Arabidopsis thaliana: one gene and its partner. The protein of the gene in region 2 interacts with the protein of the main gene of each other region in a biochemical or structural test. Each region holds a gene or a part of one and is shown on either strand. Other genes may lie near its edges. The genes, in order: PUB22 and EXO70B2.

Evidence for each region.
Region 1: the proteins of EXO70B2 (region 2) and PUB22 form a complex in vitro, tested with the Arabidopsis thaliana proteins (one study listed by BioGRID).

What each region holds. Positions count from the first base shown.
Region 1 is NC_003074.8:19,439,878-19,444,504, forward strand, and holds PUB22 (plant U-box 22), read right to left. Parts: upstream 2,551-4,627; 5' UTR 2,374-2,550; coding exon 1,066-2,373; 3' UTR 740-1,065; downstream 1-739. UniProt on the Arabidopsis thaliana protein: E3 ubiquitin-protein ligase that negatively regulates water stress response. May control in coordination with PUB23 a drought signaling pathway by ubiquitinating cytosolic RPN12a.
Region 2 is NC_003070.9:2,149,423-2,154,392, forward strand, and holds EXO70B2 (exocyst subunit exo70 family protein B2), read right to left. Parts: upstream 3,120-4,970; 5' UTR 2,884-3,119; coding exon 2,392-2,883; intron 2,284-2,391; coding exon 976-2,283; 3' UTR 736-975; downstream 1-735. Other genes in the region: AT1G06990 (GDSL-like Lipase/Acylhydrolase superfamily protein), read left to right, coding at 397-587; SLP1 (Calcineurin-like metallo-phosphoesterase superfamily protein), read left to right, coding at 3,527-3,710, 3,774-3,886, 3,969-4,001, 4,082-4,183, 4,328-4,540, 4,630-4,765, 4,852-4,970. UniProt on the Arabidopsis thaliana protein: Component of an exocyst subcomplex specifically involved in autophagy-related, Golgi-independent membrane traffic to the vacuole. Regulates autophagosome formation and autophagy-related Golgi-independent import into the vacuole.

The DNA of each region.
Region 1 (4,627 bases), on a different chromosome or scaffold from region 2:
CAAATTAACTTTGACATGAGCGATTATTTATGTAAAACCTTAGGAATTTATATTGGACTTATAGCCCGAAAGTAATAATTAATTTTCTCAGGTAAAACGACACTGTACTCATGTTCTCCCCAAGACCATGTTCCCTGATTGCTAGAACCGAGGTGTATAAATACAGAGATTCTTGCTATATAATATTGCTATAACGTGCTTTAGATTCCTATATTCATCTATCTTTTGCCTTCGATCTACCGATAATGAAATGTCTATTGATCGTTAAAACGCATGCAAAGAGTTTTCGTAAACAGTTTTTACCACGTTTAGTCTAAATCATTTTAAACTGAGTGATCTAAAAAATCACAATAAGTGAATACAAAATCACATATATATGAAGGACTTTTGGTATGTTTACATAATAATTAAGAAAACAAATCTTAATTAAGAATTTCTTAAAACAGAAACTCATCCTCGAATGAAAGAATGCCCGTCGTGGATATCGTCGATGTATACTGGAATATATAAATCAATAGTGGGATTAGAGTTGTAGAACGTACCGACATAATATATATATATATACATAATTACATTCGCAATGTTACAATTCTGGCATCAATTAAATGGTCAGAAACGTTACACATGACGCATACAAATCTCTAAAAGTATTTGTAAAAAGTAATGGTTTTAGCAGAACTATGATGTAACCTTTAGGTTATCCACTCAATAAAAACGAGAAGTTGAAAGAGATGTTCTCCATTATTATTGTGAGTAATGGACAAAAAGAATATAAATAAGGAGCCTCTAACAATTACGAACAAAGCAAGTGGGATAAAATAGCCATGTAACCTGTGAATCCATTTATTTCTTTGCAGTTTTTTCATAATTTCATGAAAATATGTCCACTATTATCTACACATAATGATAAACATTGAAAGATAATAAAACAAAAACAAATGAAAGAAAATCAGAGTTTGAGCAAAATTTAAACCACTCTTTTTTGTTTTAAAATGAACTTATACGAAGAATAATTCTCAAAGAATTGTTTGTATCTGATGAGAATTATTCAAACATGTACGTTGTTCAAGCAGGATACGAATCATACAAATTTCTTGGGACACAAGGTGATTCCCTCCAAACCCTAGCGTGAAGCTTAAGCAATTCTTTAGCCTTTTCTTTAGTCTTGTTACCACAGCTAACTTGAAGTACCAGACACAGCTTTGCTACAACTCCCAATTGCAACATCTCCTGCAACAAAGAGGGTGTCGCGCAGAACCTCCCAACCGAAAGCAAAACCCTAACTGCCCTTTCACTAGTTATTTGTGAGACCCTCAATATCTTCTTAGACACAACCGCAATAGCGGCACCGTGATTCAAGAACTCAGCTCTTCCTTCTGCGCACTGACATAACATATCAAGAACCACCATCGCCATCTCTGAATTCCTTCTCTCTGATGAGAAAGTATCGTCCATTAAAAGCTCGATTATCATCGAGATTGTTCCACCTTCCACTGCCTTGTGTCTATTCCTTCCCCATGGACATGTGATCACCAAGATTTGCATTGCTGATCTTGTCGCCTTGTGAGAGATCTGGTCGTGCAAGATTTGAATCACCTCACCGAAAAGTTCTCGTTCCAACAATATGATCTGCATTGGATCCGCAACTTCCAGGAGCTTCTTGAGAAGCAAAGCCGCATAGGCTCTTGACTCGTAGATCCCACGTTGCATAATCTTCGTCAACGTTTTCACAAGATTTGTTCCTTTCTTGTTGTTTAAAAGACTCTTGAGGGCTGTCTCCGATGTGTCAAGATGGTAGAGTACGCTTAGGGCTTCGTCCATCAAGCTTCTTGAAGAATCAAATCGATTCTCCAACATGTTTGACTGACACATGTCGTTGAGATTCGAAGAAGAAAGTGAAGAAGAAGGAGAGTTATACGTATCTACAGAGTTGCTTACGATATTTGCCAAAAACTCCGGAACTTCTGCGGCTTCTAAGCACCGTTTGTTGGTTGTATTCTCAGATACTATTTGACGAAGTCGTTTGAGGCATTTGACTTGGTTTAGATGCGAAGATGACGACTCTTTGATAAGCTTTTCGATCTCCGATTTACAGATCGGAGGTTTTGGAGTTGGGATCCTCTCTATACCATATGATGCGTTGAGGGTACACCAAGATTGAATCAAACGGCGAAGAGTGTGGTTTGGGGTAAGATCAGTTTCGGTTATGACTTGTTTGGTGACTGGACATGAGTTTTTCTTACCGGAAAAGAGCCACTTCTCGATGCTTTCTCGGTCGTAGGTTATTCCGGTGGAAACTATCACCGGATCTTTCATGATATCTAGAGAGATTGGACAAAGGAAGAAGGAAGGAATCTCTATCTCTTGATCCATTTGACCCGCTCGAAAATATGAAAAAAAAGAAGTAGACTTAATCAATGGAAACGACGAACGAATCTAAACAAAAAGCTTCAAAGTGCAGTCGTTGAGATTTAGGAGATATGTGAATTGGTTTGAATAAGTTAGCAAGAAGATAGATGAAGAGTTTGGGTCTTTAAATATAAAGGGATAGTGGAAATATTCAGAATAATTACAAAAGTCAAAACACGGAAAATACAAGTATTGTTAAAACTCTTTTTGGATAGCTGTCGCTATTTATTTATTATTGTATAGTTTTTTATTAGAACGAACGAGGAACGTTATATATAGATTTGACTTTTTTTTTGGGTGGTGTAACAAAAGAAACTAAACTATAAATGCGTTTCTCATATTAAAAAAAAAAGTGAGACGTATGAAGAGTGTTGACTTGTCAAAAGAGATGCGATAACGGCGAAGAAAGTGTAAAAAGTAACCAAGTCATTGGGGATTGGTTGTGGCGGTGTTGAAGACAAATAGATTGTCTGTTTTGTGTCTCTTTTTCGTTTTACTCACATGCCATAATTGCTTATTCCTCCTCTTTTTTTGCCATCCCCCATTGACTTTTTATTTCATTTTACAAAAAATTGTAACCTAAATTGGCTGGCTTGTTTCAATTTTCAAAACTATGGTTAATATAACTGTTAATCAACCGAAAGGTAGATGAAGATTTTTAGGTTTTTAATTTTGTCAACAAAAAGAAGATTACTGTTTTTGGTACCGACAAAACCTAAAGTGCCATTAACGGTCCGTTGTTGGATTTTGTACATTGTTTTAGGATGCAATCTTTTGTGATACTTTTGGACCCATACTCCCTTGTTATGCTCTACTTTTGTCTAGGCGCTTCCACAATATTTTGGATATTCATATTTTCAGTTATTTTTCCTCTCTTTTTTCCTTTTATCTTTATATATATGTTGGCTTTGATCTTAGTGCCAATGGATATGCCTCTCATCTATTGGCAAATGCATAAACTATATACGTTTTTTATCTGCTTTTGGTTATCACTGAAGTTTTGGTATTCTTTTGAGTCTGATATCTATTTTGGTCAATTACATTCGATTAATTAAATAGTTTTGGTATGCATAAACTATTTTGGTACCACTTGTGGGACATTGATAACTCAGTCTCTTCAAGTTGTTTTATCGTTCTTCCGATTATCAGGGATTCACTTAATGTTTTTATAGAACGTTATATCATTTCATCTTGACAATATATATGAGTTTTTGATCTGTCGATGGACATCTTTACTTCCATTTTTGTTTTTGCCATTAAACAAAATCCATAGGTTCTACAATCCAGTAAACTCTAAACATTGTCATTTTTAAAGAATTACATACATTTTTAACCAAATCTATATCTATATATATATACCACTTTGTGTTTTCCAAAGACATCTTTCGATTTCAAACATTTTAGTTATTAAAAATTGCATATATTACGAAAAAGTCAACATAATATGATTTACAGCTTTATATACCCTATGATTAATGAACTTATGAGTTATGATATTGGTTATTTACTAACGTTTAAGTAACGGAATGAAAAGTGTATATATGATAAAGATTTTCTGCTGTTTTTTTAAAAAAAATATACGAAGAGGATATCATCGATAGTCCGTTATCCTTAATCAACACTTCTATACCTTTTAAGATTTCAAATGAACTGATATTTCTCTTGTCATAGTTTGGCTTTGGTGGTTCTTCATGAGTCTTTAATTGTTGGTTTAAGACTTTAAGCCATTTGCTGTTTACATTGTAACTATTTCAACCTATGTTATTATTTGTTTCAAGCTTATTTGACCTGATTATAGAAACTCGATAGTATTCTTATGATTTGGAAATTTGGAAAATATATGAAAGTATAACAGAATCACAGAACTGAAGTGAAATATTTCCATCTTTTTGTTAAATTAAGATATTATTGAAAAATAGAAATAAGTTAGGCAACTCTTGAGCACGACCAGAATCATGACCAAGTTGCAACTATATATGCTACTAATCAGCAATTCATTCAACCACAAAATAATAATTTATCCAAATAGATAGATAATTGACTTCAATCTTGAGGATATATATTTATTTGGGTTTATGTACAAATAGCTCTTTCCCATTCTTTGAGCAGCGGTCATATATTACAGCCAATTAATAAAATTTAAGAATATATATAAATACATATACGTACTGTATGTTGACATAATACAGTATATATATACATCTATACGTACGTGTAT
Region 2 (4,970 bases):
TTTCCTTTACTCCCATGCAAATAACGTTTCGCACTAAATCTAGTTTTCCTTGAGTTTTGATCAATTGCATCTCTTTCTAGATTATATTGTATTTGGAAAAAATATATTTGAGGTTGTTATATTGGATCATTTAAAAAAGATATTGCATAAATGCAAAATAAGAAAAAAGAAATCAATCAAACCCAAAGCATAATCCAATTTTCTCCGCACAATTCTCTCATATTAGTATATATCACATACGTGTGAAGTGCATGTATTTTACAGGATTTTTACTGATAATTTTTTTTACAGGTTTTGAAATTATAGTTTGTTATAAGAGAACATTCAAGACTATAAAATATTTCATTTTATTACAAAGCTAAGTAGTTATCAATGTTATTCCTTTGAATGGGACAGGGTTAAAGGAGACGACGAGAGGATGTTGCGGGACTGGAGAAATAGAGTTAGCGTACTTGTGCAATGCTTTAACTCGGATTTGTCCTAACCCTAACCAGTACCTTTTCTGGGACGATATTCATCCTTCCCAAATTGCTTACATAGTCATCAGTCTCAGTCTTGTTGAACAAATTTTCCACGTACTCTCTTGATTTTCATTTTGCTTTCATATATATTAATTAATCTGTAGTCAATCTATAATTATTTCCCTGTGGGTTCACATAATCTTTCGTATTTGCTTAAGCTAGGTTTTACATGTATACTATTATGATATTATACTACTCTATCCTGGTAAGTTGTAACTCTATAGCACAATGCTCGTAAGTCCGTTTTGAAACCCAAACGAATTATATTTTAACCTTAAGGAAATTTCTTACATCAAAAAAGCAATACATGAACAAATCAATGTCGAAAAGGTGATTCCACCGATCCATGAACATTATTCACCCAAGAAAGATAAAAAAACACAGAATGATTCACAATTTTACAAAAAAATTCAATTAATAAGAATTTTTTAATTTCTTTTCATATCTAATTTAATCAACTTGAGCTTTCCTTGAACAACCGTTTGATTATAAACTCCACATCTTCAACAGTATACGGAATAAACGGCTCTCCACGCCTCCCATTAATCTCCGGTGACTCCTTCAATCTTCTGATGAAATTCGAGTACGCCGGAGATACAATTCCGGCAACAGAGCTTCTTAACTCCTCCCTCAATTGCCCATCACTAACAACCCATTGAGATTGCACCTTACACACCTCATCGAACTGTGATTTGAACAATCTTAGGTTCTCTACTAACTTGGGATACGGACCATCGGTCCTAAGCAATCCCACCACTTGGTTCCATGAGCTCCTTCGGTAATTAGAATGGTATTGCCTCAGTTTCGCTGCGTGCTTCACAATCCAATCTTCTCCTAGGACTAAACCTAGCTCGTTATCCTTAGCCTTATCAAGAATATACTTGTCATTGTTCATCATGAACAAGAAACACAAAGACGGATCACGATAAGTTCTTTTCTTGCCTTCCAAGTTACTCTCCAACAACTCCAAAACCCATATGATTTGCACAGACAACGGTCTCGTATCTGATCCGGTTTCATTTCCTGTCTGGTCAAGTATCTGCTCCAACGATTGCCGCGATTTACACGCCGCACGCAGATAATTCATCACGTACCGCGTGATCGGGTGAATCCCACCGCCAGGAAACGCTGTTTTGGGAGGGTCACGTCGGATTAAATTCTCCAGCTCCATAAATATCCCTCTAATCGCTTCTCCTAACCGTTTATGAATCGCGAGCGCCTCATGCCTTAGCGGCGAACAATATCGATCAGAAAATAGCGTTTCCATCTTAGGAATAAGGTCTTGCATCGCTTCGTATAAATCCACAACCTTAAACAAACGTTCAGGTAAACGGCTTCCTAAAGCGATCGCGTCTGCGAAATTCAGAAGCTGTGTTGTGGTTCCGCGACAAACTTCCATGAAAGAAAGATCGGTTACAGAGGAAACAGGAAGATCAGAGAAAACGCGATCGCAGAGAAGACGCTCGCTCGGGAAGAAAACGTGGAATATCAGCGTTACGGCTTTAATCCAACGGTCGATTTCGTCTTCAAGATCTTGCCATGGACTCTCTTGCACTTCCTCCATACTTAGTCCTCTGAGATGTAACCTCGACAAACTCTCCTCTAGAAACTCTCTTCGTCGACTGCTGTACACTCTTGAACACTCTTTTGCAAATCCACCAGCGACCATGCGCACAGCGATCGCGTTTAGATCGCCAATAACGCTAGATTGTAACGCCTCGATCACGATTTTGTAATCAGTGATTGGACGAGCAACGATTACCTATTCAATTGTGAATCACTTAACCACAATATAACCGATAGTAAACCGAATTTTCTAATTCTAATTCCAAAACTAATTTAGTAATAAATTTACAGATGAATTAATTACCCCGTCGCTTGTGTCGTTGTCTTCTTCGCCGGGGAACTCATCGTCCGAGTCAAACGAGTCAGGGGCTCGGTCCATTACAAATCCAAACTCTTCTTGAAGCCTAAACATCACCTGTTGAATCAGCTCATCGGCACGGGATTGACAGACGGCGACGGATTTATCTCCGGCCATGGATCTCAAGTCTCCGGCAATCGCAAGTAGCTCATCAACAGAGTCGAGGAAGGTGCGCGAGTCAACGGGATCAGACCAGATCGGTCGATCTTCCACGATGTAGCTGGAGATCTGTCTCTCTAAAGAGGTGAGGGCTCGGTCAAAGTTGACGTTTGAGCCGCCGCGGGATGGGGTGGGTCGAGGATCTCCGCCGCGGTTTCCGGAAGCGCCATAACCGGAGAGAATCTGTAAGATATCTCCGGCGGCACTTGGATCCTTGCCGAGAGCTCTGGCGATGTCTCTGGCGGCGGCGTAAAGATTCTCGTCACCGGCTTCAGCCATATGATTGGATGGGAATTAATAATGTTCGGGGAAATTACGGAATTGGTGGAATTGGGAGAATAAAGACGAAAATCCATAGACGAAGACTATAATATTGACAAAGTCTTCGGAGATTAAACGCGGGAACCATGTCTGACTTAGTTGTGTGCTTCTGTTTGTATTTTAATGGAATCTGTAATTTCTTAGTGCCACGACCACGACTTTGTCTTCGTTTCGATTTTTCTCTTTTGGTTCTGTCTGGTTTGATGTTTACAGAACGTGAACGCAATTTAACAACCGCGTTGTGCGTTTGGTCATCATGGAAATTGGTTATGGGCCGATGACTTCGTTACGTTGAATTTTCGGCGTCCAGTACACTTGGGCTTTAGATGGCCCAATGGACATATTATTCATTTTTGGGATCGATAAGTTTGATAAGGTTGAGAGGCCCAATTTTTGTCTTTGTGGTTATCTTTTATTTTATTAAAAACAGAAAAACCAAAAATTGAGAGGAAAAACCTCAGCCAGTAGATAGATAAAAGGGATTTGATTACTGAGCATGCAATTGGAGACAAGTCACACAAATTATAGACCAGACGAACACAAATGTTAAGTGATTTCATCAAAGCTCTGGTGGATCATTGCTTCTCCACCACCAATACCAATGGCTTCCCTTTACCTCAATTCCTTACTTCCACTTCCTCCTTCTCACCCCCAGAAACTTTTAGAACCTTCTTCTTCCTCTTTGTTGAGCACTTCTAATGGTAACGAACTTGCTCTGAAGCCGATTGTCATCAATGGAGATCCACCCACTTTCGTCTCTGCTCCTGCTCGTCGTATCGTTGCAGGTTCGCCACCATTAATCTGAAAAGTTTCAATCTTTTTGATAATTTGACAACAAAATTGAGTAGGTTTTGGTTTTGGATATGCACTCACAGTTGGAGACCTTCATGGCGATCTGGGTAAAGCCAGAGACGCACTTCAGTTGGCTGGCGTCTTGAGCTCCGACGGACGAGACCAGTGGGTCGGCCAAGACACCGTATGTACATTATCTCTTAGTGGTTCAGTATCGTGTTAAATGGTTTGCTTGATGATATTATTGACAGTATCTGCTAGAGTTCAACATTACGCATCTTGAGGTTCATTATGATGACTGATTCTTTTGAGTTAAATGCTTATGAGTTGTGAAATCATAATGAAAATACAGGTACTAGTTCAGGTAGGAGATATACTTGATCGCGGTGATGATGAAATCGCAATACTCTCCTTATTGAGGTCACTTGATGATCAGGCCAAGGCTAATGGTGGAGCTGTTTTCCAGGTTTTTGATTGCTATCATACTTGAATTTCATAAGTAAATTTTACACAGAGAAGCTTTTGCACTCTACACATTTTAATTTGCTAGTTCTAGAATGATGATAATTGATAGGACTAACAAAGAGTAACTTCTTGTCACATTTTAAAGGTTAATGGGAACCACGAGACAATGAATGTTGAAGGGGATTTCAGATATGTAGATGCGAGAGCATTTGATGAGTGTACTGATTTTCTTGACTACTTGGAGGACTATGCACAAGACTGGGACAAAGCGTTTAGGAATTGGATTTTTGAGTCAAGACAATGGAAAGAAGATAGGAGGAGTTCTCAAACCTATTGGGATCAATGGAATGTAGTAAAGGTACTTCATTTTGCCTTGTCCTCTCTGAGTTTTCTTAGTTTTTGTATTCGTTGGTTAACCAAAAGTCGGTGGGAAAACCATTAGGACAGAGGCAAAAGGGAGTAATTGCAAGGTCGGTCCTTCTCAGACCAGGTGGTCGTTTAGCATGTGAATTGTCGCGTCACGGAGTTATTCTCCGTGTTAATAACTGGCTCTTCTGCCACGGTGGTCTCCTTCCTCACCATGGTAAGGACAGTCAAATCTATCTCAACATTTCCTCTCGGTGATCTTTTGGATTTGATATATCATATGCTTATAATGTCCTTGCACAGTTGCATACGGCATAGAGAGGATAAACAGAGAAGTCTCTACTTGGATGAGAAGCCCTACTAACTATGAAGACAGTCCTCAGATGCCGTTCATTGCGACTCGAGGATATGACAGTGTAGTC